Drosophila melanogaster: one gene and its partners. The protein of the gene in region 2 interacts with the protein of the main gene of each other region in a pairwise test. Each region holds a gene or a part of one and is shown on either strand. Other genes may lie near its edges.

Evidence for each region.
Region 1: the proteins of CG32694 (region 2) and CG11878 interact in a two-hybrid assay, tested with the Drosophila melanogaster proteins (one large-scale study listed by BioGRID).
Region 3: the proteins of CG32694 (region 2) and CG2061 interact in a two-hybrid assay, tested with the Drosophila melanogaster proteins (one large-scale study listed by BioGRID).

What each region holds. Positions count from the first base shown.
Region 1 is NT_033777.3:25,269,390-25,279,365, forward strand, and holds CG11878 (uncharacterized protein), read left to right. Parts: upstream 1-4,447; 5' UTR 4,448-4,458; coding exon 4,459-5,524; intron 5,525-5,580; coding exon 5,581-5,777; 3' UTR 5,778-5,848; downstream 5,849-9,976. Other genes in the region: CG11889 (uncharacterized protein), read left to right, coding at 842-1,898, 1,957-2,153; CG10513 (uncharacterized protein), read right to left, coding at 6,472-6,671, 6,737-7,805; CG10514 (uncharacterized protein), read right to left, coding at 9,116-9,321, 9,384-9,976.
Region 2 is NC_004354.4:9,983,822-9,994,908, reverse strand, and holds the start of CG32694 (uncharacterized protein), read right to left. Parts: upstream 5,215-11,087; 5' UTR 5,037-5,214; exon of another isoform or gene 4,949-5,036; intron 1,932-4,948; 5' UTR 1,864-1,931; coding exon 1,720-1,863; intron 1-1,719.
Region 3 is NC_004354.4:11,089,680-11,101,053, reverse strand, and holds CG2061 (uncharacterized protein), read right to left. Parts: upstream 8,563-11,374; 5' UTR 8,431-8,562; exon of another isoform or gene 8,274-8,430; 5' UTR 8,213-8,273; exon of another isoform or gene 8,096-8,212; 5' UTR 8,010-8,095; coding exon 6,750-8,009; 3' UTR 6,107-6,749; downstream 1-6,106. Other genes in the region: CG2076 (uncharacterized protein), read right to left, coding at 9,052-9,133, 9,197-9,329, 9,427-9,763, 9,862-10,003, 10,077-10,188, 10,256-10,475; vago, read right to left, coding at 11,067-11,328.

The DNA of each region.
Region 1 (9,976 bases), on a different chromosome or scaffold from region 2:
CATTGACCAATCCAGGAGATTTCCTAACCCTAGCCCACGGGGATCTTTAGACAACAAATGTGATGTTTCAGTACGACGAACAGGGTCATCCCATCAATGCCGTCCTAATTGATTTTCAGTTCAGTGTGTGGAACTCTCCGGCCATCGATTTGCACTACTTCTTCTCCACTTCGATCCAGGACCATCTTCGCTGGAAACATCAGCCTGAATTGGTCCAGTTTTATTACTACAGGCTGGTGGAATCTCTGAAGAAACTACAGTATTCGCGTCGTATTCCGAGCTTATTTGAATTTCAACTGCAGTTTAGGGCTAGATCTTTCTATGGTAAGTATATGCAAGTTATAGTGAAAATAAATTTTAATTTAAGAAATTCTTTTAGCTGTTTTCTGCTCACTGATTTCCGAGCCCTGCATGCTTTACACCGGAACTGAGGAAGCGTCTATTGCACAAGGATTGTCCACTGCCGCCAGTGGAGTCCGGTTCAGAGATTCTGTGTATCATGCTGACCACATCCGAGAAAAAATGCTACTCACTCTGCCGTTTCTGGATCAGCAGGGGTTGTTAGACGATATGTGAAGTTTTATTTTTTTTACTTATAAGTTGGTCTAGCTAGTTAGCCTAGCTGAACAACAGTCGCTATTCTATGATCTTTCACACAGTGCAGAGCCCTATCCTAATAAATTTTTTCAGATGTGCTGTCGCCTATCTTTTCAATTGCCGGCAATTAAGGAGCTTACGACTCATGAGATACGCTCTGTGCCGTCTCATCTAATCATGAGCATCTCGTCAGTGTATAAAAGCCATGCCCACCTCTGACGAAAGCTAGTAGAATTTCAACATTATGCCGGAGAAAACGACCCACAATGCGCCCGCGTGGCTGACAGAGGAGTACGTGGAGAAAAAGTTAAGAGTCTACTTTAAGAATGACACCTTGAATCTGAAGAAACTGACGATCAAGCCGGCGACAGCGAATGGAGAGAACTACGCCAGCGTGATGACCCGCATCAGTGTGGAGTACATTACGAAGGATTCAAAGGATAACCAGTCCGCAACCTTTCTGCTGAAGACGACCTTCGCCGACAAAGACCCGGCGGCCCATTTGCTCATCAACTACGGCATTTACACCAGGGAGATCGACATGTACGAGCAGATACTGCCCCGATTGGCGGATATAGTGAAGAATGAGCTCCACGATTCTCGGAAGCTGTTTGCAGCTACTGTGGGTGTAGATCGTGAGCGGGACTCGATTATGTTCGAGGACCTTTCGCTGGAGAGGTATAAGGTTGCGTGCAGGGTGAAGAAACTGGATCTGGAGCACACTTATCTGGTTCTTGAGAAACTGGCAGATTTCCATGCAGCGGGGGCAGCTCTGGCTCAGCGGCAACCGGGAATCTTTGAAAAGAACTACGACCGTGGATTCTTTAACAAACATGTACGAGGCTACGAGCCCATCATGAAAAATATCCTTAAGGCCTTGTCGCGTACCCTCGATTTGAGTCCGGATCTAAAGGAGCGATACCAGGCGAAGATTGACAGGTTAATTGATAATGTAATGGACTACGGCGAAAGATCGACATCTGTCGCTCCCGGCGATTTTGTGACTCTGGCCCATGGAGATATTTGGACAACCAATGTCATGTTCCAGTACGATGACGAAGGTCATCCAGTTAATGCCATCTTCATTGATTTCCAGTTCAGCGTTTGGAATTCTCCGGCCATCGATCTGCAATACTTTTTCTCAACCTCGATCCACGAAAACCTTCGTCTGGAGCGTCAGACCGAGCTGGTCCAGTTCTACTTCTATAAACTAGTGGTGGCTCTAGAAAGGGTGAAATATTCGGGTAAGGTTCCGAGTTTATTTGAGTTCCAACAGCAGTTTCGGACCAAAGGTTTTTATGGTAAGTTTGCGAAGTATATAAAATGTTATACAATTTTTAATTTCTTTATTTTACTCAGCTGTGTTTGCGTCGTTGATTTTTGAGCCCACTATGGTCTACAATGGCAAGGAGGAGCCGTCCATAGAGCAGTTCATGACCAGCGATGAGAAGGGCGTGCGACTGAGGGATGCAGTGTATCAGACGGAGGAGAACCTAAAAAAGTTGCACCTGACTCTGCCGTTCCTTGATCAACTGGGCTTACTAGACGAAATGTAAGAAAATGCTCCACACAATAAATAAATGCTCCTTATCAGTATAAGTCAATTAATCAAATTATCACTGCTATCTACCTAGAAATTTAGCTTAAAAATAGTTTCGTTATTTTTAGCAATTAATTGTTTAGAAATTTCTAGTAGTTCGCTGGCATCAAATGGATATGTATGTAATAAGCTCAATGACGATTTCTAATAGCTAATTCAAATGGTTGAATTGAAAGATAACAGGAATGTCAGATAGAATGATAGATAAGACTTGAATAATAAATGTGTACTTACCTAACCGACGAGGTATAAAAGCGGAACCCCACCGATGAAAAATCCGCAGTGTTGATCACCAGGAAATCAATAGAAGCGCACAAGTGGTGCCCGCTTGGCTCACTCGCGACTATGTGGAGCAGAAGCTGCGTTCCTACTTTAGAAATGACTCCCTCCGCCTGGTGAACCTGGACATCAAGCTGGCCCTTGGCAACGGGGAGAACTACTCAAGCGTGATAACTCGCATCTATGTGGAGTATACGACGGATAAATCAAAGGATAAACAATCCACCAGATTCCACCAGATTTGCCGACGCAGGTCCGGCGGCGCAGGTTCTCCTGAGCTACGGAGTGTACAACAGGGAATTGGATCTGTATGAGCGCATCCTGCCCCAGATGGCGGAAGTGGTGCGAAATGAGCTGGCAGATTCCCGGAAACTATTTGCAGGCACTGTTTATGTTGATCGGAAACGGGACTCGATCATCTTCGAGGATATGTCCCTGGAGAATTACAGAGTGGCCGATCGGCTCAAGAAACTGGATCTGGAGCACACTCATCTGGTACTCGAGAAGCTGGCCAATTTCCATGCTGCCGGAGCAGCCTTGGCTGAGCGCCAGCCTGGAATCTTTGCGAAGAATTTCGATCGTGGATTCTTTAACCAGCATACCCGCGGCTACGAGCCCATCATGAAGAATCTTTTGATGGCTTTGTCCCGATCCCTGGAGCTGGAGCCGGATCTGTGTCAGCGTTACCAGGCAAAGATCGATCGACTGGTGGAGAACGTAATGGAGTACGGAGAACGATCGACGACCATTGTTCCCGGTGACTTTTTGACCCTGGCTCACGGGGATCTCTGGACCACCAATATTATGTTCCAATACGACGACAAAGGACATCCCATAAATGCCATCTTTATCGACTTTCAGTTCAGTGCTTGGAACTCGCCGGCCATCGATCTACACTACTTCTTTTCAACGGCCTTGCAGGCTGATATTCGACTGAAGAAACAGCCAGAGCTGGTCCAGTTCTACTATTACAAACTGAATGCTGCCTTGAAGAAAGTCCAGTATTCCGGAAATGTTCCGAGCCTATTCGTCTTCCATCAGCAGTTCAGGAACAGATCCTTCTATGGTGGGTATACTAACGTGCCTGGTTAAGGAATTTATATTCATTTATGTTATCATTCAGCTGCCTTCGCATCACTGATCTTTGAACCAACGATGACGTACACGGGCAAGGAAGAGGCATCAATGGATCAGATAATATCCCTTTCGGAGAAGGGAATGCGCTTTAAGGATGACGCATTTCAGGCGGAGGAGACCAGGAAAAAGATGCGTCTCACTTTGCCCTTTCTTGATCATTTGGGTTTACTAGACGTGATGTAAAGCGAAAATAGTAATATTATTATCGTAATTATAGATTTTATATTTGCTTATAAAATATAATAAATACAAAATAATTTCGATTACTTTCCCTGCTATTACTAACTTTTATTAATTGTGTATGCACTTATGAATGACAATTCACAGGTGCTAATTGTAGGTAAATGTTTAGAAAACATGAAAACGGGACAAAATCCGTATTAAAAAGTTTTCTAATTGTTTTTGTTGATATTGACATTAAAATTAGCTACAGACGACGATACGGGGGAATTCTTGGAAAAACTATCAAGGCAACCCACTAAATTAATTCACTTACTTTTTACGATATTCGATAACAAACAATAAAAAATATTAAGTTGTATTTCTCTTCTTTGGGAAATGTAAAACAAAATGAATTAATTATAAATTTGTTGCGATGAATCTGTATATGGTGATAAGTTGCGAAATTTTGGTTACCAGGAATACTTAATAAAAAGTGCATTGCAAAAAACGTGAGCGTTCGACCAGACTCGAAATTGTTCAAGTGTTGTTTGTCCATGACGAAGCCAGTTGCCACGAGATACTTGCACTAAACTTATCATATATACACTAAAGTTGGCTATAAAAGTGGTCGGACTCCGTTCGCAATGTCGCAGAAGCGAAAGCCCTGAGTTACGGATAGGATCATGACTGAGAAATCTACCCACAAAGTTCACCCAGCGCCAGTTTGGCTCACCTCGGAATATGTGCAGGATAAGTTGCGCACCTACTTCAAGGATAGCTCACTGAAGCTGGCGACGTTGGATACAAAGCCAGCCGTGGCCAATGGAGGAAACTACGGCAGCGTGATGACCCGCATCAATGTGGAGTACACGACCAAGGTATCGAAAGGGAAACAGTCCACCACATTTCTGGTTAAGACCACATTCGCTGACCGGGATCCAGCCGGCGATGTGCTCATCCACTATGGTGTCTACACCCGTGAAATGGATATATACGAGCACATCCTTCCCCAGCTGGCGGATATGGTGAGGAAGGAGCTTAAAGACTCCAGGAAGCTCTTTGCGGCCACCATGAATGTGGACCGCGAAAGGGACTCGATCATCTTCGAGGACATGTCACTGGATCATTACAAGGTTGCATGCCGTCGAAAGAAGCTGGACCTAGAACACACCCACCTGGTACTGGAGAAACTGGCCCTCTTTCATGCAGCTTCATCAGTTCTCGCCGAGCGACAGCCGGGTATCTTCGACAAGAACTATGATCGTGGCTTTTTCAACAAACACACCCGGGCATACGCCCCGATCATGACCAATCTTCTGGAGGCTCTGTCCCGCTCCCTTGCTTCGGATGAGGAGTTGGGACAGCGGTACAAGGCCAAGATCGACAGGCTTGTGGAACGTTTGATGGACTATGGCGAAAGATCGACGACTAGTAGTCCTGGCGACTTTTTAACTCTGGCCCATGGAGATCTTTGGACCACCAACTTTATGTTCCAGTACGATGCAAAAGAGCATCCCACGAATGCCATCTTCATTGACTTCCAGTTCAGCGTGTGGAACTCGCCGGCCATCGATCTCCACTACTTCTTCTCCACCTCGTTGCAGGATAATCTTCGCTTGGAACATCAAACAGAATTGGTTCAGTTTTATTACTATAGGCTGACGGAGGCCCTAAGGAAGTTAAAATATGCTGGTCGGATACCCAGCTTGTTCGACTTCCAACTGCAGTTCCGCTCGAGAGGATTCTATGGTGGGTACAGTTCTTAACTCTCTTTCAAAATAGTTTTTTAAATAATTTATCCGCAGCCGTATTCTGTTCCTTGATTTTTGAGCCTGTCATGCAGTACGAGGGCAAAGAGGATGCTTCTATTGAGCAGGTCCTATCCAGTTCCGAGAGTGGAATGCGATTCAAGAACTCAGTTTATGAATCGGAAAATATAAAAAAGAAATTAAGTGTCACACTGCCTTTTCTGGATCAGTTTGGATTGCTGGATGACATGTAATGATAATCTTGAACTTGTGTAAATAGTTAAAATAAATAAAAGTTTAAGTACTACTACGTATTGGCTCAACTACGTCGTTGCTTTTAATTTCCTGGGAAAATACTTATCTAATAGCTTGATTGCACTTTATGTGTGTAATTCGGCAATAACTGACCTTTTTATATGAAATACAGTGTTCATGACTGATAATAGCGCTTTCGAGTTTATTTCGGCAAGATAGTGCTAAACTCTTGACAAACAAAAGGTGCAAGCAATACTAAAAATCTCAGAAGATAACAATTACAAGCCCTTGAATCGTGGTGAAATAGAAACAATCGCGATACGCCAAAAGATAAGCCGCAGATGTTTTAGCTAATAAAAGAAACTAATATTTACCTACAACAAATAAATACGAATACGAATGTATTTAACAAGTCAAGGTGTACTACTGAGGAAAAAACTTGTAAGTGAATTGTTGCGTCCCCCTTATAACTCATACGCACCGTTGGCCCGCTTATCGTTTGCTTTAAAACGTCACATTTAATATAGTTTTATGAATACAAACATTTACAATAGAACCATTGTGTGTTCTATTTCTAATCTTATTGCTTACCAACTTGCAATAAAAATGAACTGCTTTTCATATGGTTTTAACTTCAAAATAAAATTTGTTTTTATTTTTTATCAAATACTCGTAGTATATGATGGCTTCCATTCAGTCAATTACGTCTAGTAGACCACTCCGATCGAAGCGTGGCAGCTCGCGTTTGAGATTGTCCTGCAACCTCTTGTTGGTGTACAATACCTTCCGGAAGTTACGGCCTCGTTCGTCATCCTTCATCAAAGCATTAAAGTCGGCATCGGCGTTTTGGTCATTGGTCAATATGGCCTGGCAGACCAGAGCGACTGTGACAGCTGTTAGATACAATAATATAAACAATTATAATGGGTTTTTGAAAATCATTCCAGATGGGACTCACCAAAGAATCTGCCCCTTTCGAGCTGCAGGACGAACTGCCTCAATGTGGGAATGTAGCCACCAAAGTTGAGATCCTTAAGCGTTTCCACGAGCACCGTGTGATAATACTGAAACAGGGCATCCTGCTGTTCGTAGCGAATATCGACCTGCACCGAAGTGTTGAAGAAGTAGTGCAGATCCACCGCCGGCGAGGACCAACTGCAGAATTGGAAGTCGATGAGAGTCATGTCCAGTGGCTCCTTATTTTCGCCGTAGCGCAACATCACATTGTTCACCCAGTAGTCACCGTGCACCAATGTATTAAAATCTCCCGGTTGGGGATCGTAAACTCTTGTGGAGTACTCCATTACACGTTCCTGCAGCTTCTTCAATTTGGTAGCATACCGCTCACCCAATTCGGGACACTCCCTGGCAAAGTCAGCCGCCACGCCCACCGTATTCACAAAGAAGGGTGCAAAGGCCTGGGTGTGGCGATTGAAGATGCCGTGATCGAACTTGGTCAGCAATCCGGGTTGACGTTCGTTCAGAACAGCAGCGGCCGCATGCATCTTGGCCAGCTTTCGGAGTCCCAAGCGGGTGTGCTCCAGATCGAAACCAACCAGACGATCGGCCAGGACATATTTCGTCACCGCAAGGTCCTCAAAGATGATGGCCTCGTGCTCGTAGTCCACATGCAATGTCTTGGCGAAAACCTTTTCCGGCTGGCGAGTCTTCTCGATGAGCGAGCTCAATTGGGGCAGGATCTTCTCGTACATACGCATTTCCGTGGTGCTAACCTGGTACTGGGAAAATATTCCAGAGGCGAAGGCATCGTTCTCATAGGTGGTCTTCACAATATAGTATTCAGTCTCGGGGCTTTTGGCGCCACTTTTCAAGAACAAAATCCGCACGCGTGTCATCACACTAGCATAATTGTCACCCTTGGCAGTGGCGGGCTTGATCACCAAATCGGTGATCCTCAGTCCCGGATCATTCTTCAAATCCCGGAGCAGTCGCTCCAAGTAGGTTTCATCTAGCCACTCTGGCGCCGGATGAAATTCGGTAGCGTCTTCCTTGCCCTGCTCCACCATGATGATGCTCGACTTGTGTTCTGGATCACTTGGTCCAGTCGAAGGCCCCATTTATAGGCAGCCGGAAGACGCAATCTCGCCGACAACAGATCCCACATTATGGTAGCCGTAAAGCAAGCTGGCTCAGACAATTACGTAGCTGCTGCCCGTGGATTTCGATTCATACGACAGAGATTCGTGAGTATCTAAAGCTGACTAGATAGAAGCAGATCTCGGAGCGCGACACTTGACAGGGTGAGATAACACCCCCACATCTCGCAAATCGGTGCACGTTCCTATATATGATGTAAGTGTGCCCGCCGTAATTCATGCCGAATGGTGCTGACGTGGCGTCTAAAGATCGCTCTCGTGCTCGCGTCAAACTAATCTACTTCACAGCCCATAAATCCATCTGCCGTCCATCCATTTGCATAGTTGAGCCGGATAGTTAAGCTATTTACAGACTTACAATGGTTTCGTTTTTTATTTCCTAGTATTTAACGTTCTACGTATTTATAATAATCAGTCGGAAACTTTGAATTTCACAAGGATTTTCGAAACAGAATAGCCCAGAAGGAAAATAGTTAAACAAGTTTTCAAGTGCCAAGATAATGGGTAGAGGAGATAAGATTTCCCCTGCATACTTTCAGGTGTAGCCGATAACAATCTTGAATGTACATTTGTATATATGTCGGGTCTTCCTTTATCTAGCAACAGAATTTTTATTTTCATCTGTTCGAGGATTTACGATCTGTTTATTTTCAAGAGGAGCTTTGAATACGGCACTGCCTACTTTTGAGCGAATACCTTTTCTGTTTTCCTGCTGAATGTATTCTGTAACATACCTTCCAACTTGAGAATTTCTTTGATGGTCAACTTATTAGGTACGCATATCCGTTTTCTTTCTTTTCTCATTAATAAATTAAAAATTGTGATATTGTCAATTGGAGATAATGCACCTAAATAAATAAAAAACGATCCATTACATATGTCAGATTCAAAACATGTCTTACATATTCTCTTTAATTTTTTTTAGGAACGATACATTATTTTGCTTTTTGATTTTATACCAAAAATTATTATGACCCACTTATGAGAACACAAGTGTTATTCTTATCTCAATGTTTTAAAAATAGCTTATACGACATGTTGGCCATTTTATGTCTCAGATCAAAAATGTCCCAACCGTATTGCACTAGTCCCTTGAATTTTGGAAAGTCAAATATCCCATAACAGAGATAAACATTTAATTTAAAATGAGATTGTTTATTATTATTTAAACTTATAGACATAAAACGTGGAAGCCCAATAAAACATATCCTAATAATCTCTTAACAGGTCTGGTTAACTTCCAGCAGTCCCTTTCTATCGAAGAAGGGAACCAGGGAATGTAAATTTTGTTGAACTGTAGGGTTGTTATATAATCGGTTCTTAAACCGAATGCCACGCTCATCATCGTTCATCAAGGCATTGAAACAGGCATCCGTGGGATCCTGGCTAATCATAACTGGCTGCACCACTACCGTAGAATGCAAAGCTATAAAGAATATACAATTATTTAAAAAGAAATTACATTTTGTGATTAAATATACCACCTACCAAAGAATCTCTTTTGCTCCACCTCCAATTTAAACTGATGCAAACTGGGAATCTGATTTTGACGATAGTTGAGCTTTTCTAACGTCTCAGTGAATATCTTGTGGTAGAACTGGAAGAGCCCGTTCTGCTGATCTCTACGCAGTGGCTCCTTTAGAGAAGTATTGAACAGGTGATGGAGATCGATGCATGGGGAGCCCCAGAAGGAGTACTGGAAGTCAATGAGCAGCACATCGACGGGTCGTCCCGTATTCGGATCGTACTTGAACATCACATTGTTGGTCCACACATCGCCATGGGCCAGAACATTAACTTGACCCGGAGTGGGTGCAAAGCACTCCCTGCCGATGTCCATGTAGTGCGGAGCCAAAGCGAATAGCTTCTCTCCGTAGTGGGCCAACGTGGGCACCTTGCTCATCCAGCGAGCGGCGGCCAGCAGACCACCCACAAAGTAGCCACTGTAGGCGTTTGTATAGCGATTAAAGAAACCACGATCGTAACTTTCGAGGCATCCACTTTGTCGCTCGTTCAAGACCGCTGTGGCGGCATGGAATTTGGCCAACTTGCGCAGGATGAGGTGAGTGTGCTCCTCGTTG
Region 2 (11,087 bases):
AATTTAGTAAGCCGTTTAAATGGTCTCTCGTTAAAAAAGATAGGCACGTAATGGGCAGCTTTTAGCATATCATTTGCATATTATTTTATGGTAAAGTTTAAGAACTATTATTTAAATATATCACTGCTGTTGCGTAAATACATTGCTATACAATATAGTTTTTAGCTCCCACTTAAGATAAATACCAATTGCTACTTCTTAAAAACGGCTTTTGTGCATAACCGCTTTTGGTTTCACAAATAAAAAAAAAACACAAAAAACAAATTTAATTAACTTGTTAAGTGGCCATTTATTTGCTAATGCTTCCTTTCAGTTCTGTAATATTTAAATACCAGGATCAACAATACTACTTTATACCAGGAAAAACGAACTTGCAAGTTTTATTTATGGTTTTCACATGCACATAAAAGTAATTGCACGCCAGCTTTGATTGACAAATATTGCGACGTTGATTATATTCATATATTTTTGATCTTTTTGTTGTTGCCACACAGCCTTTGGGCCATGTGGAGTTTTCAACGATTTCGGAGATTTGTGCAAATTTGTTGCACAAAGTGAAAGCCATAATATGACATAAAACAATGCTAAAAACTGGCCAGCTCTCTGGACGAATAGTTTCGGCTAACAAATTAGCAGGGGGCTGGGTGTACGGGGTGCTAATTGCCGACACAGTGATACAATGATCCCCAACGATGATCGAATGGCATGGGTATGGGAATACTACGAATACGAATGGGAATTTGTGGGGAACTATCTCGCCGCTCGGCAATTAAGTAATAAAATAGCAGAGCTGCAGGGGCTTGCTCAACTCAACTGGCAAAGAGTCCGGTTTTTTTTTTGGCCAGGCCAACACCCAGCTGAGGCTCAACACATCAAAAAAAAAAAAAAAATGCATAGGCAATCGGCAGCTAAGGAAACAGGTACCAAGTGTGCCAACTTCCTTGGAACTGGTACTGGTCTGCTCTCCAAGAGATCGCAGCTCTGATCCAGTCACGCAGGTTGGACGGGCCCAGAGACCCCGAGACCCGAATTGGCCAGGCCAAAAGCCGCATAGCCAAAAACCAAAACCAAAACCGAAAAGTAAAAGGAAGTTTTCGCCGACTGGGCGACAAACATGTTTGGCCGCTTCCTCCCCCTTCCGTAAAAAAAAGCAGCCCAATCCAAGTGCAAATTTGTCAAGCAAATATGGTCGAAAGGGCAACTGAGGCGGCAGCACGCGCTGCTACTCTGCGCCAACTGAATGCTAGCGAGAGTCGCTTCAAGAGTTCCAGCACATTTGCCATTAACTTGAGCACTTGACCAATTAGGTTTATGGTCTTCAATTGTTTTATTACAGCATGTCCATGTTTAATAGATCTTTTACGATTTCATAAATAAATAGTCAAACGACCTTGTTGTTTATTTTGAAACCACCCCTGCCTGAGAAAAGAGTCTATGAAAGCTTTGAATAATATTTGTTTTACACACTCGCTTGTTTGATTTTTGGCTACTTTATCACTTTCTTGATACACTCAGCAAGGTAAATATTTATTCTGTATTAAGCTTCTCTAAATAAATTGATAGCTTTATTATGAATTTTAGCACGAGCAGAAAATTTGTTAATGCATGATCGTAATTCAGAGATTTTAAACCCGAAAATATACCAATTTAAGGCTATCAAACGCATTGAGCTCATTCAGAATATAACCACAAAAGTGTTAAGAATTATGATGGACTCACCTTGCCATTGGCAAGCGGGATTTGGAGGACGTCCAGCTCGGAATTACCGTTGGCGGGCTGCGGTAGCGGTACGGCGCTGATGAGGCAGGCGGCGCTGCCGAGGATCAGGAGCGCCAGGATGTGCTGTCTACTTGGCTGCCTCATGCTGTTTTTGTCGCGTGCGCGTGTGTGTTTGTGTGTGTGTGAGCGGGACGTGGGAGTGTGTGGGTGTGCTGGAACGAGATAACATGCTAATTAATGATAATGCAGAGACCAAAGATGGCAACAAACTATGCATAAAGGTCAGCGGGCGGTGACCTTCTGTTATCGCGCGCGTTTCTTACACCTTTGAAATCGGAAATATATATATATATATATAAGATAAATAAAACGGAATCGAAGCCGAATAAAAAACGAACATCTTGTTTGATTTCGAGTCTGTGGTTTTGGTTAATCTTTTTTTTTTTTCCAACCGTTTGTTTGGCTTGCTGGCTATTCTCTGGCCACCAAGGTCTTCGAAACGATGCGGATGCTAACGATAACTGTCAATAGGCGATGGCCAATGGCCAATGGCCAACTATGGCGGTGGTTTGGTCAAGTTTAAATATTGGACATTTCTTGGGCAACTCGGCGTATGAGTAATGCCAGCAGTATTAGTGTGCTGCAACGGCGAGCAATTTTTAAATCACAACAAAAAAAATTATGTAATTTTTTTTTTTTCAACTTTTTATATTTGGCCAGCAGCAGCAGCAACCAGTATTTGTGTGTCTGTTTTATTTTTTGTGCAATTTCTACGGCCAAAGCTTTTTAAAGCTGGGCTTTTGTTAAAAAAGAAATTGAATAAGGCCCAGTGAAAGAGGGAGAGAGAGAGAGAGAGGGAAAGATAGCGTTAGAGAGGGAGGGAAGCACACAGGTGCGAAAAGCAAGGCATCAGTCGTAATTACACACAAAAATGTGAGAAACTGCATTAAAAACAAACCAATCTCGAAGCTCTAATTGAAGAAAGGCAGCGGCGTGGAGAGCGCGAGGGGTATAATTTCTTTGGTCAACAGCTATGCAAAATTATGAGTCATCGCGAACCTAATGAGAGAAACTAAGTACATAGTAAGGGAAACCGTAAATTAGAATCGCTGATTGCCTTATTAGACTTTGACACGAATGTGAGATGACATTGCGAGCTCAAAGGTTAAGGCTTTGCCAATTGGAGATCAGCTGGTGAAAAGTTGAATAACAGATGGAAATACGTCGCCAACAGGTAAATACTAAGTCAATTATAATCGGTAAAAGCAAAACAAGGTTCTCAATTGTACTGCCTAATAAAATGAATCACCCCTGGGATTAGGGAACTTAAGCTCTATTTCTTTGGAAAACACTATAAAAAGTTAAACAAATCCCATCTAATTCCATTTCGATCATGCTAGTTATGATAAACCATTATATTAATATGAGAAATATAACAAGCAGCATATTTATAAAGAACATGCAAAAACATCTGCAAATTTAGTGGCAAAACTATATAACCTAAAACTCGGCAACACCCATTTAAAAAATCATAATAAATGTATTCGGGGAAACTCCGAATGCTCAAGACGTTAAGTCATCTTCGGCTGAGGCATGCAAGAAATGAACTTGAAAGCGTATTTTGGGCCGTTTTGTTTTGGCCGCCTTTGCTGCTGTTATGTTTTTGTTTTGCTGTCAATCAGGCAATCACACCAGCAATTTGGCAATACAAAAGCGTCGAGAAAGGGGGAACTTCAAAACTGGGGATTGCCACCTCGAGGCGAACATGCAACGCTGATGGTCCGGTCATCGTCATCGTCATCGCCATCGTCTTCTTCTTCTTCATTGCTGGCCCGTCTTAACTTGGCCCGAAGTCTGCTGGCTGTTAAAGTAGGGCGTAAGCGCCAAAATCCAAAAAAAAATCCGACGAAGGCGACCACAACAGAAAAGCAAAAGAGAAAGAGTGAAAACCGGCAACAACAGAGCTCCACCAGATGTTATGTCATCTTTGGGCCTGTTGCTTTTACTTTCAAGCTCTCCTTCTCTTTCTCTTTCTCTCTCGCTCTCTCTCTATCTCTCTCTCTATCTCTTTCACACTCTTTCTCTCCCTCTCTTTCACTCGCTTGCCCTGAGCTGATCCATTTGCTTCTAACAATTGTCCGAAAAGTGATCAGTGATCAACAACGTGACTTGACATCTACCATTCGGTTTATTTTTTGTATTTTTGCATACGGAACTTGGGGCTTTTATGATTACGACTCACTGGCAATTGCACAAATATCATAAAACTCATAAAAACGAAAAATCCGCATCTGGCATTGAGTGCATGCTTCGGCATGGACATGTCGTAATTAAAAGGCAAAGCCCCCAAAACACAACAGCGATAATCAAGGCTTGAGTGGGATTTCGGATATATGAGGGATTTCGAAATATAATTTAAGCCAAGTGACTGGGTGTTTTCAAAAAAACAAAAAAAGAAAAAAAACTGAAGTAGTGCACTTCCTGTGTCTCACAGTTTGCAATTAAAATTCGCCCTTGCGAAGTTTGGGTTCAGGGAAACGGTGCGTATGCGTGATATTTTCACAGGGGAGTGTGAAACTTTGGTAGTTCCTAGTAGCTTATTTTCCAAAAACTATCTAAAGAGGGTAGCTCAGAAAATTCTAAATAAGTTTATTTATTCTACTGTTTGGAGTGGGGGGTTAAATAAGAAAAATTCCAAATAAATTCTGGAAAACTCGAAGACAAATTTTTTGAAGTCCCCATATTTTAATAAGCATCTTATTTTCTACAGATATAAGAATAATATTCAACCGGCTTGTCAATATTCTCCCTGAAGATATCTGTTCCACTTAAGTACCCGCCAAATAAAGCCCCTCGCCAATCGATTTCAGCACTGCACACGAAACCTCTCGAAACGCAATTTGGAAATTGGCAATCAAAAACGTTTTTGTGTTAACCAACTCGCATTAATTGGGCAATCCAAGCAAGGTAAATGAATGCAGCAAATGAGAAATGAGACAAAACCGAAAATAGTTCAGCACACGCGTCAGGTATTTATATGTTTTTGTGATTTTTTCGGTGTGTTTTTTTCTTTTTTTTTTTTTTTTTTGGTTACTTTCAGTTATTTCGTATTATTGTTCACAAGCCAAGTGTTCTTTAAAAATTGTTAAGCACAGCAAAAAAAATTGGAAAAAAATATAATATAATGTTTTTGTTTAAGGTTTTTTCAATCCGAGTTTTGGTGGTTTACTTTTTGTGTTATATCCTCGCGAATATAGTTTGTTCTTTGCGATTTTTATTTTTTAGCACATCACATTGTTGTTGGTGGGGATACATACGCGTTTTGGCCAAAATGTAAACAGCCCAAAAAAAAATTATATATATTTCTTTTTTGTCTAAAAAAGAAACAGCAACAATTGCGTGGATCGGTGGATCAGTGGATCGTGGATCGGTGGTGCGACTGACTGCGACTGCTTCTCTTTGTGGTCTGGGCTGTTGGGCCTGCAATTGATTACTAACGTGATTTTATCACACACAAGCGACTAAAGCTCGAGACAAAGCGCGCCGTGTACGCCGGCAGCGGCGTTGGCAGCGGCGCCTCTGAAAAAACGCCCGCCGTACCGCCTCCGTACCGCTTGAGCCGCCTCAAGTCCAAGTCGAGCCGCTCGAGTTCCGCTCGAAACGAAAACGAAAGTGAGCGCCAAAAGTCAAGCTTGAGTCGCTCGTGAGCTTGACCAGGCTTTTTGAGTGGTTTCCACTGGCGTTTCATTATTATTTTTACTCGTTTTCATTTTTATTTTTTACGAGTAACTCCTGCTGTTTGTTTTTTGTATTTGTTGTATCTTTTGTATTTTTCCCATTTTTTCGACAAGACGATTACGCGAAAAGTTTCCGCCTCGTGAGTGCCAGCTTCAGTTTGTCAGTTTGTCAATCTCCATCAGCTGGCTCAGTTTGTCAGTGGGCCGTGGCCAGGATTAGAGCCAGTTTTATTTTCGCCTTTTTATTTTTATTTTTACTTATTTTTTTCTTTTACTTTTTTTTTCGTATTTTTAGTTTAGTGGCTTACACAACCTCCTGTGCAGCTGCGCATCTTGAAGATGCATTTTTATTGCCGCTTCCCTGCGATACCAAATAATCGTTGGAGTTGCATTTATCGATATTGCCAGTCGCTACAATCGGACACTTCAATTTGATTCGATTTGATTGCAGTGCCCATTACCATTCCGCATTCCGAAAGTTAGGCAGAAAACAAATAAAGCAACAGATGTCTTTGGCTTGAAATGGAAAATTTTATGAAAATTGCCAGCCAAGTCGTGGGGTTAATGGAAGTCGTGACATCGCCGCACCACTATTCAGAATATTTCGAGTTACTATTTAGAGGTACTTAAAATGTATGAGTTCTTAAAACATTGCTAGTTTCTATGATAAAGAAATAAAGTTCAGTTGGGGAAACAAAACATACCTTTAATGTCTTATTTAAATGCTAATGGGGAAGAATATGTATTTTAAAATGTATAAAACGCTGAAGTTTAAGCATTGACAATTTAATGTATTTATTTTCCCAGACACTGTACAATAGTTCTGCTGAAAATAACTTTAAGCACATATAACTGCCATTTTTAAACACATACTTTTCATATTATAGAAATATTATATTATTATTATTGTTAACTAAAAATTTGTTCAACTCCTGTCAATGTTTCAAGCGCTTTAAGGGTTCAATTAAGTTCACTGAACTTGGTCTTTGGTCCACAAAATTCTATGAAGTGTTCCACCACTTAGCGCTTCGAGGGTCTAACTGGGCCCAAAAGGTTGGCCACAAAATTTCCGCACTGTCATGCTGGCCATGCACTTTGGCCAAAAGCCACTCGATAATAATCAGAAGCAGAAACCTTCGGCCAGCCACAAAAGCGCGAAGGAAAAAAAAAAAATAAAGAAACTCAAAATCGAATACTGACCAACCGCAAGACAATGTCGCCGATCTGTGGTTAGCGACAGTTATGCGTTGTTCTTGAATGATCGATCATGGTGATAATGATCGTTGTTGTGGCCATAATCACGGTGGAGATGAAGATGTAGCGTTCATATGACCTTCTGTAGAATCAGAACTGACAGCAGCCAGTCGGCTGTGGACGACATTTTTGATAGTTTTCAGCACGCAAGTGAATGGAATTTCAGCTCCTAGGCTACAGTGAGGCCTGGCTAAGGATGCTACGAATTCTGCGACACTTTTGGTATCTTAAAACAGTAGAGGAATGGGTTACAAGACTTAAAAAATTAATTGCTTATTGCGTATACTAGAAAATTGCATATATGAATATTTTGCCATTTTAGTTGTTATGCCTAATTTCCTCTGCCAGTTTTTATTATATTAGACATAAACTAGTCTACCAGGTATGATTATTTGTATTATTTTTTTAATATAGAGACCACTGTGCTGGCAGTGTGAACCGGAAGCTAGTGCTCAATGCGACTCGATTCGAATCGTTTCCATTGGATTCGATTTACTTCGATTTGATTATTGGTTCGAGCATCGCTCTTTTATTTGGTTTTTATATATGATTTTCCATTTTTTATTTTTTTTTTTGGACTGGGCAACCGCATTACCTTCGGCGGCGGACTGTCGCCGCTCTGAAGGATAACCGGTAACCGGTAGGCGGCTTTTGTTTAGTTTTTTTTTTTTTTTGGCTGGCGTTGCCCTGGGTTAACGACCAACTGGCGCAAAAGTGTGGAAGTGCAGGCAGACATGCATGGCAGGCTACAAATTACGCATACGCCGCTTGGTACCGAGCCCAACTGGAGCTCAACTGGAGATACTGTATCTTGCCGATTGCAAAAGCAAGAGTAACAAATATAGCTAAAGCAAAGCAAAGCAATAGCAAATGCGAAGGCAGGCGAGCCAAAATCAGTCAGTCGGTCGGTCGACTAGTGAGACTCACTAAACTAACTCACTAAAAGTTGCATGCGTTCGAAATCAGTTTAAGGTGAATTAGATTTTGACACACATACAGCGACAGCGTTTTGCATAAACACAAAAAAATACGAAAATATACGAATATACGAATATACGAAAATTATGAAATTAGTCTCAGTGGCCTGGGTCGTTCGCTTTTGCGAAAAGCAAAAGCTGCCAAATCGAAAATGACAACGAAATTAGCTTTAATGGCCGGACTTCAGACTCTATTGTCTAGCTCTTCTTGTTGTTTTTGCGACTTTGCCACGCCCATATGGGCGTTCGCAATTTGCATAAGATGTTCTATTTGAACCCGAACACCAAAAGGGGCAACTGCTCAGCACGAGACTAAGCCAGAAGTTCTTAACTACTTAAGGTTCTGTTGAATTGCAGTTTTAAGTCTTAATTTACACACTTTTTTTTCCAGGAAAAGTAAGTTGAATTGCATATTTTGTATTCTAATAGATATTTGAGCAATAAATCCGACTTAGTACGCTTAGTGAAATAATAAAGTAAAATTACTCTGGCCATTTTGGTCCTCTTTTAATTCGCATGCAAACTCGAAGTTAACATATATGCAGAATTTGAATACCTCTGCCAAATGTTCCGACTTCTTTGGGGACCCTCATCGGCCCTGGAAAGCGACTATACTTGGTATACAAGAGGGCCAAAGTGGCGGAGCCCATTGTCCCTGCCATTGAACGGCAATTCATGGCGCATCAATTAATTCTGGCGACGTTGACATGGCTTTAAATCGAGCGACTTGCAGACGAAGCGATCCATTGGAGTGGCAATCGGGGGCTACACTGATAGATGGGGAGGGGGGGTCTATGGGGCTTTTGAGGGGTATATTGTGCAGATTACTGACAGTTCACTTTGCCGTGTGCCCAATGGTGCAATTAAATGTAAAGACATCGCCGAAGTCACTGCCATTGTTCGGTGTTTGTTTCTTGTTTCTTGTTGCCTGTTGCTGTTTCAGTTTCAGTTTTAATGGCAGCCCATAGACAATAACAAGGTTGGTCTACAGTTTTTGTGCTTCGTTTTCTTGGTACTCTTTGGATTTGATTTAATTGCCAGCGTTTTCGGACCATTACAGGGACTTAATTCTTCGATTTTATGAGTAATCCGGCAAATAGCTGTGCCGACGAGACCCTGAACGGGATGATGATCTACGATTCGGACTCTGACCCGGATTGTAGTCGTATCAATCGTCACGTTCCACGTTCCCAGTAAACACACAAAAAAAAAAAACGCCGAGTCTGAGCCTTGCATAAATTAGCGATTGCCAAAGTCTCTCGGCGTTTTTGTCTCAGTTTCTCAGCCTCCGTCGGTGACTAATTGCAAACAATTACTAATATTAAGTACGAGTGGTTGTCCGAGTGTTCAAATAATAAGAGATACAAAGTGTCCCAAATGCAAGCAGACAACTTGATTTCTGGCGTGAAAAGGAAGCTGTCACATTGGGAGATTGGGCCACGATTCAATCGATGATGGCGAATTTTAAATGCTCTGCAAGCCAACAAATAATCTTTGTTGATTAGTGAAAGTAGGGGGTAGACCAGATATTAATCCAAATATTTATTAACTTATATAGTATAAAAACTGGAAAATATATTAATGAACCTTCTAGAGTACTTCAACTCAACTTTTCCGATTTTGTTGTTCAAAATGGACTTTAAACTCATGGTCAAATAGTTATAAATCCGCAAATTCACAAATAGTTTAAATACATTCGGGAAGATGCTGATGTTGGACTTTCGGCAGGCAATGAGCTCATAAAGTTCACCATTATCCACTCAACCGCTTTGCGAATTCCGGCAGGGAAATGCAAGGGTGTGTGTGTGTGTCTATGTGCTTGGTATGAAAGGCAAAAATATCATAATGCATTTAAGCCAAGTTAACATGTTAACAATTCTGTGGCTGCGGCGGCTTTTGGTTTTGGCCGTCATTTTCAGTTGATTGGCAAACCGAACGTGGTGGCCCACCGAAAAAAAAGAGAAGAGATAAAATTAAAAAGTTTTGGCTAGACAGGGGCGGCGGTGGGTTACGGGGCGTGGTCCGGCAGTAGTGCTATGAAATGGCGACTCTGTAGTGTCATGATTTATCGGAGCTGCCTGGTTAACTTTTTGCCCTCAAAAATAAAAACAAAAACCAAAAGAAAAGTACGTGATATTGATCAGGTTAACTCAGGGGTTTTTTCCATATTTTTTCAAACAACATTTTGGTATTCAGTGACATCGAAAAACAAGAATATTACCCACAACTCTTTAACACCATGACTTGGCGGATATCAATCAGTCAGGCCTTCTGGCAGCTGTTGCCTAAATTTAGACTGTCTGGCTTTGATCGAAGTGATTGGCCGAAAAATAAAAATAAATGAGAAACCGCTGCACAGAGCTGTAAATAATTAAATCCATGAGTTGGCGCAAACAAAAGTGGCGATTGTTGTTAATGGGAGAGCAGCGCGAATTGGGTCATTAGTCTGGAATCAAAAAATCCTGAGCGGGAAGTCAGACCAACGGCAGCCAATTACACAATGTTTTCAACGAGATTTTAACAGCAAGTGATTGCATAAACTGGGGATTATATTTAGATGGATTGCTTGTGCAGTAAAAACATCCACTTTATTTATAAATAATACCATTATAATTTATTGGGGCCACTTTCTGCACACATACTTTGGATGGAAAATAAGGACAACGATTTCCGGTAAAAGTTCAAAGGGGTTATTCATCGTTACTTGGCCAAATGTAATAATAAAGTTAAGTAACTGACTGATTTTAATATCCAATAATCAACGTAAGAGAATTTTTTCCCTTTTTAGCGGATTCAAAAGAATTCAGTTATGGGTAAATTTTTGCATGCATTGTCGTCAAATTTGCAAAAAATAGAGTTCTTATTTTAAAATGTAGTTTGATTGGGAAATTAATAACGAGCTAAACTAGGTATGGCACTCCATGTTTAGACAATTATTTTGAAAGTTATGGAAAAAAGACTAATTATTTTATGACAGAAAATCGGTGATTTGCAAAATTACATTTTTACGAATGTATTTTTCGTCATAACTTGACTAAAAATGCTAAAAAAGATGAAAGAGTTAATGCTTTGAGCAGCCAATTATCAATGCTAAAGATCCCTGTCACTTATTGACAGATTTTGGGAAAAAAATTTTTGGGTGAATTTTTGCATTTTTGTAAGGGGTAACATCATCAAAATTTGCAAAAAATCTGAAAAAAATGGAATTTCCATTTGTGAATACAGTTCGATTGGGAATTTAAATACGAGCACAGCGGTGTATGACATTCCATATTCAGACAATTATTTTTTGAGTTGTGTTCAAAAAACGGATTATTTTATCGCGGAAATTCGATTTATTGCAAAATTTGATATTAACGAAGTGAAAGTTCTCCATAACTTGTCTAAAAATGGTCATATA
Region 3 (11,374 bases), 1.1 Mb from region 2:
CCTCGGATGTGAAAATTCCATTAATCACGGATGGGTTAAGATATTCTTTCAAATCTGACAAGAGACTATCGGGTGTGAACAAGTTGCGATCTACTAAATGCCTTTGAAATGTCGGGAATGGAATGCTAAATGAGTAGTTCTCTGACTCGGACTCCCTGAAGAAAATTTGATTCTTGAATGCGTTTATCGGGGCTTCAACGCTAGGTATCAGCCCATGGCTCGAACTGTCAGAGCTGTGCATTGTTGAGGCTACTGTGTTAATTTGTTCGACTGTCGGTCCTCTGGACAGAGCGTCGGCTACAGTATTTTCTCTGCCTGGCTTGTAGAAAATTTCGTAGTCATATTCCTCAAGGTATGCTTTCCATCTCTTAATCCTCGCATTTCCATTCCAACTACTGAGAGAATGGGTCAAAGGCTGATGGTCAGTAAAGATTTTCACCTTTGCTTTACCGTAAAGGTAAATTTTTAGCTTTTTTAGAGCCCAGATAATGGCTAACATTTCCTTCTCATTCGTGGCATAATTTTCTTCCGCCTTCGAGAGTGTTCTCGATAAAAATGAGATGGGTCTGTTCTCTTGTGAAAGAACAGCACCTACTGCGAAATTGGAAGCATCCGTTGTTAGGTGAAATTCTTTCTTAAAGTCCGGGTAGTGGAGTATTACGTCTGGAGAAACCAAGCTGCTCTTCAATTTCTTGAAGGCTTCTATTGCTTCGCGATTAAGGGAGACGGATTTTTTTGACGATAATGTCCTGGAAATTCGACCATCCTCCCCTCTCAAAAGCGAGCTAAGTGGTTTTGCTAACTTAGCGTAGTTAGGAATAAATCGCCTGTAATATCCGGATAATCCCAAGAATGATCTCAGTTCTTTGAGTGTCCTTGGAATTGGAAAGTCTGAGATTGCCTGTACCTTGGTTGGGCTGGTTTCAATGCCCTTGTCGGACACGACGAAGCCTAGGAACTCCACTTTTCTCTTCATGAACTCGCATTTATCCAACTGACATTTCATGTTGGCTTGCTGAAGAGTTCTGAAAATAGTGTCAAGGTTCTGGTAATGTGTTTCATCATCTTTACTAAAGATGATGATGTCGTCAATATAAATGAAACATATCTTACCGATATGTTCGTGAAGAATATCGTCCAGTGCGCGCTGGAAAATTGACGGTGCATTTTTCAGACCGAATGGGAGTCGTGTAAACTCATATTTTCCATTATTGATGGAGAAGGCGGTCTTTTCGATATCAGATTCCTTTAAAAGAATCTGATGAAACCCACTTTTCAGATCGAGCACTGAGAAAATCTTGTTGTCTCCCAATTGGGCCAACACTTCATTAATGTCAGGGATAGGGTATCTGTCCGCTACCGTTACCATGTTAAGTTTTCGATAGTCAATTACCACCCTGTATTTTTTCTTGCCAGAGGAGTCGAGTTTTTTTGGTACAATCCACACTGGTGAATTGTAAGGTGACCTTGAGGGTCGAATGATTCCATCGTGTAAAAGTTCGGAAATTTGTTTGTGTACCTCGTCTTTAAGAGACATTGGGTACTGATAGAATTTTGAGTATATTGGCGTATCCGATATAGTTCGGATTGCTGCCCTTACACTTGTTGTGTAGGTTAGTTTTTGATTCGGGTCTGCGAAGAGACCTGGATACGAATCAATTATTTTATTCAATATCATTCTCTGTTTTATTCTCGGACTAATTGTGCTAACAGCCTCGAACTGTTTTTCTTTGAGAACAACTCTTTTCCCGTTTTCCAGTGTCATGGTTAGGTTCTTCAAATCAATTTGCGCTCCCATTCCCTTCATTGTGTCTTTGCCAAGTATGGCGTCAAAAGTCTTCAGCGTTGGTAACAAAAAAAATTTTATTTCGAAATCGAAAAGGCTTGCTCTTTTGTAATGCGATATTTTTACATCACCGCCTGGAGTATCAGCTATGTAAGGCTTGTTATTTGGTATCGCGTTCGTCACCAAATTGGGCCGGATGTAATTTTTATTAGAGCCTGTGTCAATCAACACCCTTAAAACCTTTCCACTCCCCACTCTACATTCGAAGTATGGTAGTGAGGAGTCTTCTACTCTAAAAAATGCAACACGTGGTCTCGTTGTTCGCTGTCCAAATTGTCTATTTGTCCATCACAGTATTCATTTAGTGTGCCGTTTATATTGTTCTGGGTTTCATAATCTTGCATCGACCGTTGATAGCCTGTCATGCTTGAACTGGACCCAGTTACTTCAATACTTGGCTGTCTCATGTTCACTGTTTGGATGTTGTAGTTCTTTTGTCGTTTGTTTATGTCCGAGTGTGGTCTATTCATATAATTAATGTTTCGCGTCTGTACACTGCCGTCCACGTCCATTGGTTCTGGTCTTGGTTGTGGTTTGGTCGCAAAGGGACGGGGTGGGGCATTGTATTGTTGCCATTGCTGTTGATAGTTTTGTCGGGGTGGAATGAACGGTGCATTACCGAAGTTAGACACGTGTTGCCTTGGCGCCGGGAATGGCTGGCCTAAATATTGTGGAGGTCTCCTCATGGGATGTCGTGGAGGGACCGGTGGAGGCTGTCGATGGCCAAAGGCATTCGACGGCTGAAAATTGCGGGGTGCCGGAATGGGTTTTTCGTTTCCTCTGAAACTCGACTGTTGACCCTTATTCGCCGCATGGTTTGACCTGAAAGTTTGATTTTCAAGTTTAAGGCAATAATGTAAAGCTGAGGGGAGATCAGCTGGCTCTTTTATTGCCAAAAGGCGAGGTAAATCTCCTCGAAGGCCTCTGATAAAAGTATCCAGAGCTTTTTCTCTGTACATTTTTGTAACAAAGTGCTCGGATTCTCGGCTCATTTGCATGCAGCCGACTTTATTTAGAATAAGCGACAGATTTTTGTAGACGTCTTGGTGGAAGTCTTCCACCGACTGCTGGTGGCCTTGAACCAAAGTTGACATTTGGTATTCCAAGGTAGTTATGTCCCGTTTATCTGCGTAATGCAGAGTGAGACATCTCGACATGGCCTTCCAGTCCAGCGGAATGCTGTAGGACTCGAGTGCCACATCAGCACTTCCAACAATTTTATTTCTTATGGTATGAAGTATACCATAATATTTTGGAGTACCCACAAATGGGGTATAAGTCTCCATGATTCTATCAACGCTCTTTTTCCAAGACCCGAATTCTGCTGGATTTCCAGAGAATTCCCTGATCGATTTTACGATATCAGGCACCCTGTCAAAGTCCGCTAAATTATTTCTGTATTCGGGCTCGACGACCTGGTCGCTCACGTCAGTAAAGTCAAGAGTATTGTTGTTCATTTGTTTTATCAATCCAGGTAAAACTTGGGCCACCGTTTGGCCAATTAATGCTGTCAACTGTTCGACACTCATGTCTACGCGATGCTGTTCAGGCAGGTCGTGTCTTTCTGAGGGCACCGGTCTTTCGTTTGAACTAAAAGCTGATGGTCTTATTATATTATTAGGATTTGCCATACTGATTTTTAATTCGGACAACACCTGCACAAAACAAGCCTAAACCAATTTGAACTTAACAAAAGTTGTGGGCAGAAAATATGGAATGCGTGTGTATGTGTTTGCTTATTTATCTTTTGTTTTTGTTTTTTTATTTTTTATTTTTATATTTTTTTTTTTTTATTTTTGCATGCAATAAATTTTAGCTCACCGCGGTTATTTTGCTTTGAGAACAGTGTACCAGAAAGGAACAGTAAATAGGAAAATTTTCCTTTCAGAAGATCTCTAGGAACTGGGTTGAAAATATAGTATTAATAATAATATCAATAATAATAATAAAATAATAATAGTAATATAATAATAATAATGTAATAATAATAATATAATAATAATAATATAATAATAATAATATAATACTAATAATATAATAATAAAAATATAATAATAATAATAATATTATAATAATAATATAATAATAATAATATACTTAAAATTTTTTTTTTTTTTTTTTTTTTTGGTATACTTATGTTTTATTATGGGTGGATGCCTGAATTTCAAATTGCTGATGTTTTTTCCAGTGTACTTTCCAGGTTCTTGTAGTCTCTCTGCCTCCTCTTCGGTTGTTTCAGCTTCAGCTTCTTCGTCGTCAACGTGTTCTTATTCCTGTTCTTTTTGGCGGGCTGCTGCTGCTGCTACGGCTGTGCTGTTGTTGTTCTTTTTTTTTCCTTCTTGTCTGCACTTTGGTTCACGCAGCCGTTCTCTGCCGTTCGTCGTCTTTACCTCTGCCGTTACGTTTTGGGTTGCACTGTTAACTGTTATCCGTGTTGCTCTTCTGTAGTTCCGTTATTCTCGGCGTTCTACTTCTACTTTTCCTTCTCCTTTTCGATGAAATTGCTGTTCTTCGTTTTGCATTTATTTAACATAGAATTGTTGCGGTCACTCCTCCTGGCTGGGTGAATGTTGTCCTTTTTGCCTGGGCTACTGGGGAATCCACGTCAGCACTCCAAAGAAGGTTTTCTGCGGGCTGGCCTGACAGAAACTGTGATCCACCAATGGGCAATGCTATGCCGATAAGTATTTTCCTCTTCCGGAAAATCTGTTTTTTTCTCAAACAATTTTATTTTATAGCCGACCGTGAATTTTGTTTGTTAATAACTCGCGGGAGTTTCTTCGGCACAATTTAACCAACGAATATTTTTTAGCAAAATTTTGATTTTGCTCCGCGACTTAGAATTTTGTCTTTCGTTCGCGTTTATTCGCTGGTCCCTGTTCGGGCGCCAGTTAATAATTACAGTTATCGATTTGATTTTGAAGATCGCAAGCGACCGTTTATTGCAATTTATCATTTGAAACTAAATCTAGCGTACAAAATGTTTCCCTAAGTCCCTAGCAATCAAGTGAAGTCGTCGGCAGCGGCGCAGCAGGCGTCGGCCGCGGCGCAGCGCAGAAGTGTCGATGTCGCGCTTAACCGTTCGTTGGCGTTGATGGCAGCGGAGACTATGTGGAACCACAAGATGTTAGAGAATCAATTGCAGGGCAATAACTTATATTTTAATGCTTGAAAATTCGATTTTCCTGGTAAACCAAAAATTTTATTTCTAATTTACAATATAAGCTTTGAATTGATTTTATTTACAATTTCCTCTTTAAATTACAAAGTTTTTTTGCACTGTAGCACACTTTAGTATCCTGACTACAGTGTACCAAATCAGGTTTAGTCGGTTTAGATAAAACATTTGGTATGGTAATAAAGAAAGATAGCCGCAATTTCAAGTTGAAAAGATTTTGTTTTAAGCAAATCAAAACAATGAGGAATTTGTTTGCAATGTGAGTTTTGTGCACATTACTCATACGCCTCGTTGCCCGTTTTCTTTGTCAAGTGGCCAGCAAACTGGATAGACTACAAATATCCCCTTACTGCTGGCACTTGCTTGGGTATCAAAACACACTTAATGATATGCACCTATAGATCGCCGATAAGCCAGTATGGCTGAGATATGGCCAAACGGATACGACGGTCGCTATTCCGGTGATACTCAACTGCTGACACATGTTACACATGCACGGCACTTGATGTATGGTATGAAGTGGAGTGGAGTGACCCTCCTCCTACAAGCGATCGTTTATTACGTTCTGGGCCAAAATAAAATATATATATGGGCGTGGGATCTGGACAGCCATCGCACAGCCATGTAATAAACAGGCAATCAATTTGGTTTATAGCGCCAAAAGCGAATTAGTTAAATTACAAGTAGATGGAACCTCCCTTTTTAGCGAACTACAAGGTTTAGTTTAGATTACACTCGATACGGACCCTTAACATACGTTATCCTAGAAATATTCGCATATTATTGGAACTTACTTTAATGCCACAAGGCAATCCATTAGATGTATATTCATTCGTATCAGGTTTATAAGACGCTAATAAACCAGATTTCAATCAATTTCTATCCGATAAGCGTGCTTTTACATCAGCCAAAGTACTTAAGATAATGCAGATAGTGAATCAAATATAAATAAAACCGCAACTTGGCAATAATCCGTACAAGGAATCGGTAAGCTATAGGTTCCTGAAAGTAAATATATAATATATAGATTCCCTCCTTTACCTTAACCATGCCAAAGGATCTGAATAAGAGTCATTTTTTTTGGGGTATTTACCCGTATGACCATGGATTCGATTGCCGTGGTGGGATGGATCGAAACTGGTCACGGGATTGTACATATCCGTATAAAATAGTACAATAATTTATTTCATTCTCATTGACAAATAGATTGAGAGCTCGTCGTGGATTACTCGTAGGTATAAAGCACACTATGCATGTAAGTATTATGTTTGTCTGTATATAAGATGTCAGCGCAAGTATGTATATGTATATATATATATGTATTATATGAAGTGTATATATATATATATACACATATACTATAAATTGTATATAAATATAATGTATATGTAATATGTCTGTGTATAAGTATCAATGTATTAAGTTAATTGCTTAGCGTAAAGCACAGAGAATTTTGATATGAGAATGACTGAGAACATTCCAGCAAGCGGTGCGCTCAGAGATCGGATACGGGCTCCATCGGGACCTGGGATCTATGCAGCACCTAGCATCCTTCTCCATCTTTCACTCCAACGTCCCAGTTCGCTGGGTGAACGCAAAGGCAACAATGAGAGAAAAATCGGCAAACAAGTGACTAGAAATGATGATAACTCTCCCTGATTCGAAAGTATGTTGTGTTGAGCATTGGTCGGGCTGAATAGGTGGAGTGGGTCGCCGCCTACGGGTTTAGTGAAAGACATCCATGAACGGAAAGTAGGCCTGCTCCGGCTCGAGCAGATCCACGAGGTAGCAAACGGTGCCGGCCACACCCTCGTACAAGCTATGCGGACGATCCGGTGTGCGGGCGCGCAGCTTGAACTCGGCATTGGTTAGCAGCTCCATAAACTTGTGCGCCCTGTACAGGTACCTCATCTCGTTGGTCAGGCGGAACAGGAGCAGGAAGACATAGCCATTGCCGGCGACGCCATGGCAGATGCCCGGTCCCTTGCGCAGGAAGCCCTTCTTCCACACCATATCCGCACAGCGACGCAGCGAGGCCAAGTACTTCTCCTCCTTGAAGATCAGATAGGCCTTGGCCAGCACATAAACGGCGCCGGGTGCCCCATGGCACCAGTGCACCAGACGCTTATCCCTGCCGGAGCGCAGATCCTCCAGGGCCACCGGAAAGTTGCCATCGCTGTCCTGCAGCTCCAGAAAGAAGTCAATCGAGCGCTTGATGTCGCGCAACTCGGCGGCCGGCGCCGAAATGGGAAGCGTGCGGAACCACGGGCTGTCCAACAGCATGTGCAGAATGGCGCACAGGCCATGGGCCGCACCCAGGTACTCCGTGCCATGGTATTGGTACATTAGCGGACACGGCGAGTTGTTCTGCTTGCTGTACTCGCGGCCGCTGGTCACGATTAGCTGGCATATGGATACCAGGTCATCGTCGGTGATCTTCTTCTCCGGCAGTACATCGTTTAGCCAATAGCAACCGGATAGATAGCCGGCACGTCCAACCAGCACCTCATCGCAGCCGTATTTGGTGTGCATGAACTCCTTGCTGCACGGGATGCCCGACTTGAAGTTGGCCAAGTCGTCGGAAAGCTCCTCGGTCTCCTTGAGCGCCTGCGATATGGCTGCCGAGACGGCATAGATACCAGCATTGCCGCACAGAAAGGAGTAGCGCTCGGCGGAGCGCTTCTTGTACCGATTGGCATTCACCTTGGCATTGCGGATGAAGGAGGCCGCGTGATCCAGTGCCGGATAGAGATCGCGTGTCTGCTCGCAGCTGTTGAGCTTCCAGAACATGAAGGCTATGCCGGCATTGCCCACATACAGATCACCGCGATTGTCCTCATCATCGCTGTTCGGATGACAGTGCTCCAGTATGGCGTCCACATAGGTGCAAATCAGATTTTTGATGTGCTCCTCGTCGCTGGCGAAAGGTGTATTCTCCCCGCCGGCGAAATCGGGAAAGGGATTCTTCAGGTAGCGGCGTTCCATGGCAAACTCCTGGCCAGGATCGATGGTCAGTTGGCCGGTCTGCTTGACGTCTGCCTCTTCCACTGGACGACTTGCAATGGCACCAGCTGAAATCGTGCAAACATGCGGTATGTGGTGAGTGCAAGTTAGGAAATCGATTTGCCGGCTTTAAGGGCGCGGTCGGGCGTCTGGCAGCCACCACCTCCTCCTCCTCAAACACTCACCTGTCTCAGGTGGAAATGGCAGTCGTGACTTCGTCGAGCACCTTCTGGCAATGGGACGAAGCTGCGGATTGACCAGAAAATTAAATATATGCAGTATTTGGCTAACTTTTGTTGTATTATCACCGAAATACGAGTTGTGTGTGTTTGCAGGGACGAGAATGTTTGTCAAGTGTGTCTATGAAGTGGAAAGTCGGCGTGGGTGTTTTTCTCACAGCCACCTAAAATCCGGAATCTTGGCGCTTCTGCGGGAGAACTTATTTTCGAACTGTCGACCGGCTCGACTCGAAATATTTAAACAATTCTTGACAGGAATGCTTAGGTCCTGTCGAAAAAAGCTGAATGAAACATCGATTGCATATCGATACATCCCTAGAGCCCAATTTCACTTTGCCATCGGTTTTTGAATTAAAAAAAAAAAAACAGAGCTTCTGTACGACCAATAACAAATATTGCACGAGGTAAATTTCTAACTAATTAGGTAATACGGCAAACGATCCGTAATAAAAGTAATTAAGCTATCGATAACAACGAACCCAACTGCTATAAATATCGGTTAAAAGCTAGCTACATTTATCGCTATCAAGCTTAAAATTGACTAACATTTTAAATTGATCTTAAAAAATGCTTTCTTTTTAGAGATTGTATATAATATATGGACAATATATTATTTAATTTCTAGGTCTGGAGTGTATTAAGACACTAATTGAAATTAGCCAAATTGAAACACAAAGTTCGTACATTTTGCTTCCTAACTCGATCGGTTTATTTTAATAACAGTATAAATATGTATGTATATTTTAGAGGGTATAATCCTCGCATCACATGTTCGTCTCCAGTGCTCACTTCCTGCGCTGACCACCACTCAGAATGGTAACGATGCGGATGAATATGTTCAGCACGTCCATGTAGATCGACATTGAGCTAAAAGATAGAACCAAAAAGTATAGAGTTTCAGAGCACGGTATGGATGAGGAGTGAACTTACGCGTTGATTGGATCGTAGGGAGTGTAGCTGTACTGGGGATAGACCTCAGCGCGACGGACCATGCGCTGAGTGTCATAGAGCAGGAAGCCACTGAAGAGGACGAGGCCGCCATATAGGGACATGGAGGCCAGACCTGCGAAAAGAGAGTTGAATGGGTTAACTCCGCTTGACAATTCATAAAATATAATGCGAAGTGGTGCTAGCCCCAGTGGAACTTTCTGGCAACTCACCTGCGCCCAGCGCCGTGGTGGGCGGCAGCCACATGGATGCCAGCGAGGAGGCGAACACCACGCCCAAGCCAATGGCCAGTGGGCCGCCCATGTAGAGGAACTTATCGCTGGGTGCACACGCGGCGATCGTGGACAAGCCACCAACAATGCCGCCCGTGTAGAGAGCGGCGCGCGTCAAAATCGGTCCGCCCATGAAGCAAATGGGTGCGATCACGGCGCCCAGAATGGCGCAGTGCACCGCCCAGGCCAGATGCTTGGCTCCCAGACCCGGCTGGTACTCAATCGAGCGGGCAACTGCTCCACTACCAATGACCAGCGCCAGCGAAGCAATGGTCGCCTAAGCGATTAAAGGCAAATGAAGAGGAAGTGTTATGTTCTGTTGTGTCTGTTGGTCAGGTAGGCGGCAAGAACTACGAATTGTGCAAGAGGACTCACCAAGATGCCGCCACGCGAGGCCAGCTCCAGGAGACGGTGCGAACGGAAGGTGGCTGCTGCTGCGGCCGCGGTGAGAACGCAAGAGCCACCGAAAAAGGCATAGGTGCTCTGGATACGATCGCGCACAAACTGGGGCCACATGCTAAACGGAAAATATAATCTCAGTTATTAAAGTCCCTGTATTTCGCAAGTGAGAGACTCGTGCTATCACTCACATGGCATTATCCGCGATGCTGGTTTGTTTTCCCAATCCCACGCCGTAGTAGCACAGGGCGCCCAATCCCACGGCGGCTGCTCCGGCGGCAGCGCCCTTGCCCATGGAGTATGCTGCACGCCAGAAGAGTACAATTAGACGACCGATATACATAGATGGGGGATTACACAAGAGACTTACCATTGGCACTTGGCGGACCCATCAGTTTCTCCTTCAGCGAGGGAGCACGCATCTCTTCGACGGGCTCACGGGTGCGAACCACCCTGCGGGCGTAGGTGCGCACCGTGGAGAGATTCAGATTGGGATTGGCATTGGCCCGGAACAGCTGGGCCGGAGACTGGGCCAGGATCTTGATAGCCCCGGCTGGACGGGCGGTGGAAAGTGCTAGACGCAGCAACATTGTGTTGTTGTGGTGAAATTCGGTTAGAGGGCAATTGGTTGTCCTTCGGTAAGTGCTGCTTGATTCGGATTCCTATGTGGGGCACTAGCGTTTCTTCCAACTGATTTTAATTGCTCACTGCGGCTTTATAATTTGTTGATTCGTAGAAATTGTTAAATATTTTACTGTCTCTTGTGCTTTATTATCGATAAGTGGTGCAATCGTTATTCGATGTCTGGCTACGTGATAACTAAATGCCTATCGCAGACGGCCACAAATACCGCTAATATCGATATTATGCTAAAATATAATATTGAAAATCCCGAGAAAATAAATAGAAATATAAACTCAACGATCCTGAAGTAAGGAATTCAAATCGTAGCCCGTTGTCTGAGATAATTTATTTGATAAGCTAAGCAATGCTATCGATAGGGCGCCAAGTTTGAATAGCGAGTACAGTGGAAAAAATACACTTCTTTAGACAAAAAAAATGTGAAATTTAAATTTATTTAACATATTCAAGTATTCCGCAATAAACTCCATTTGTATTTGTACACATTAGATCTGCACTAAAGACTAAGTAGTCCTAGGAACAGAGTACCAGTTCACTTCTCACACCTGATACTTCCTCGCCGACGCCGTGTGAATCTCGCCACGAGGGGGTGTCCGCCCGTCGATCACTATCATCTCAGTGAGATGGGATGATCGCAGAGTACCATAGTGGTCATATATGTTGGTCTGCTCCAGAGTTCCCCCCGAATTCGACTCGTAGCTCTTGCACTCATACAGTGGGCAGCATCGGGGATATTCGGCATGCGGGTTCGTCGATGGAACTGGCGTGCAATTGCCCTGCGTCAGTTTCGGCACCTGGCAGCTGGACCATGGATGAGTACGATGATCTGTTACCCGATGCTATGGCA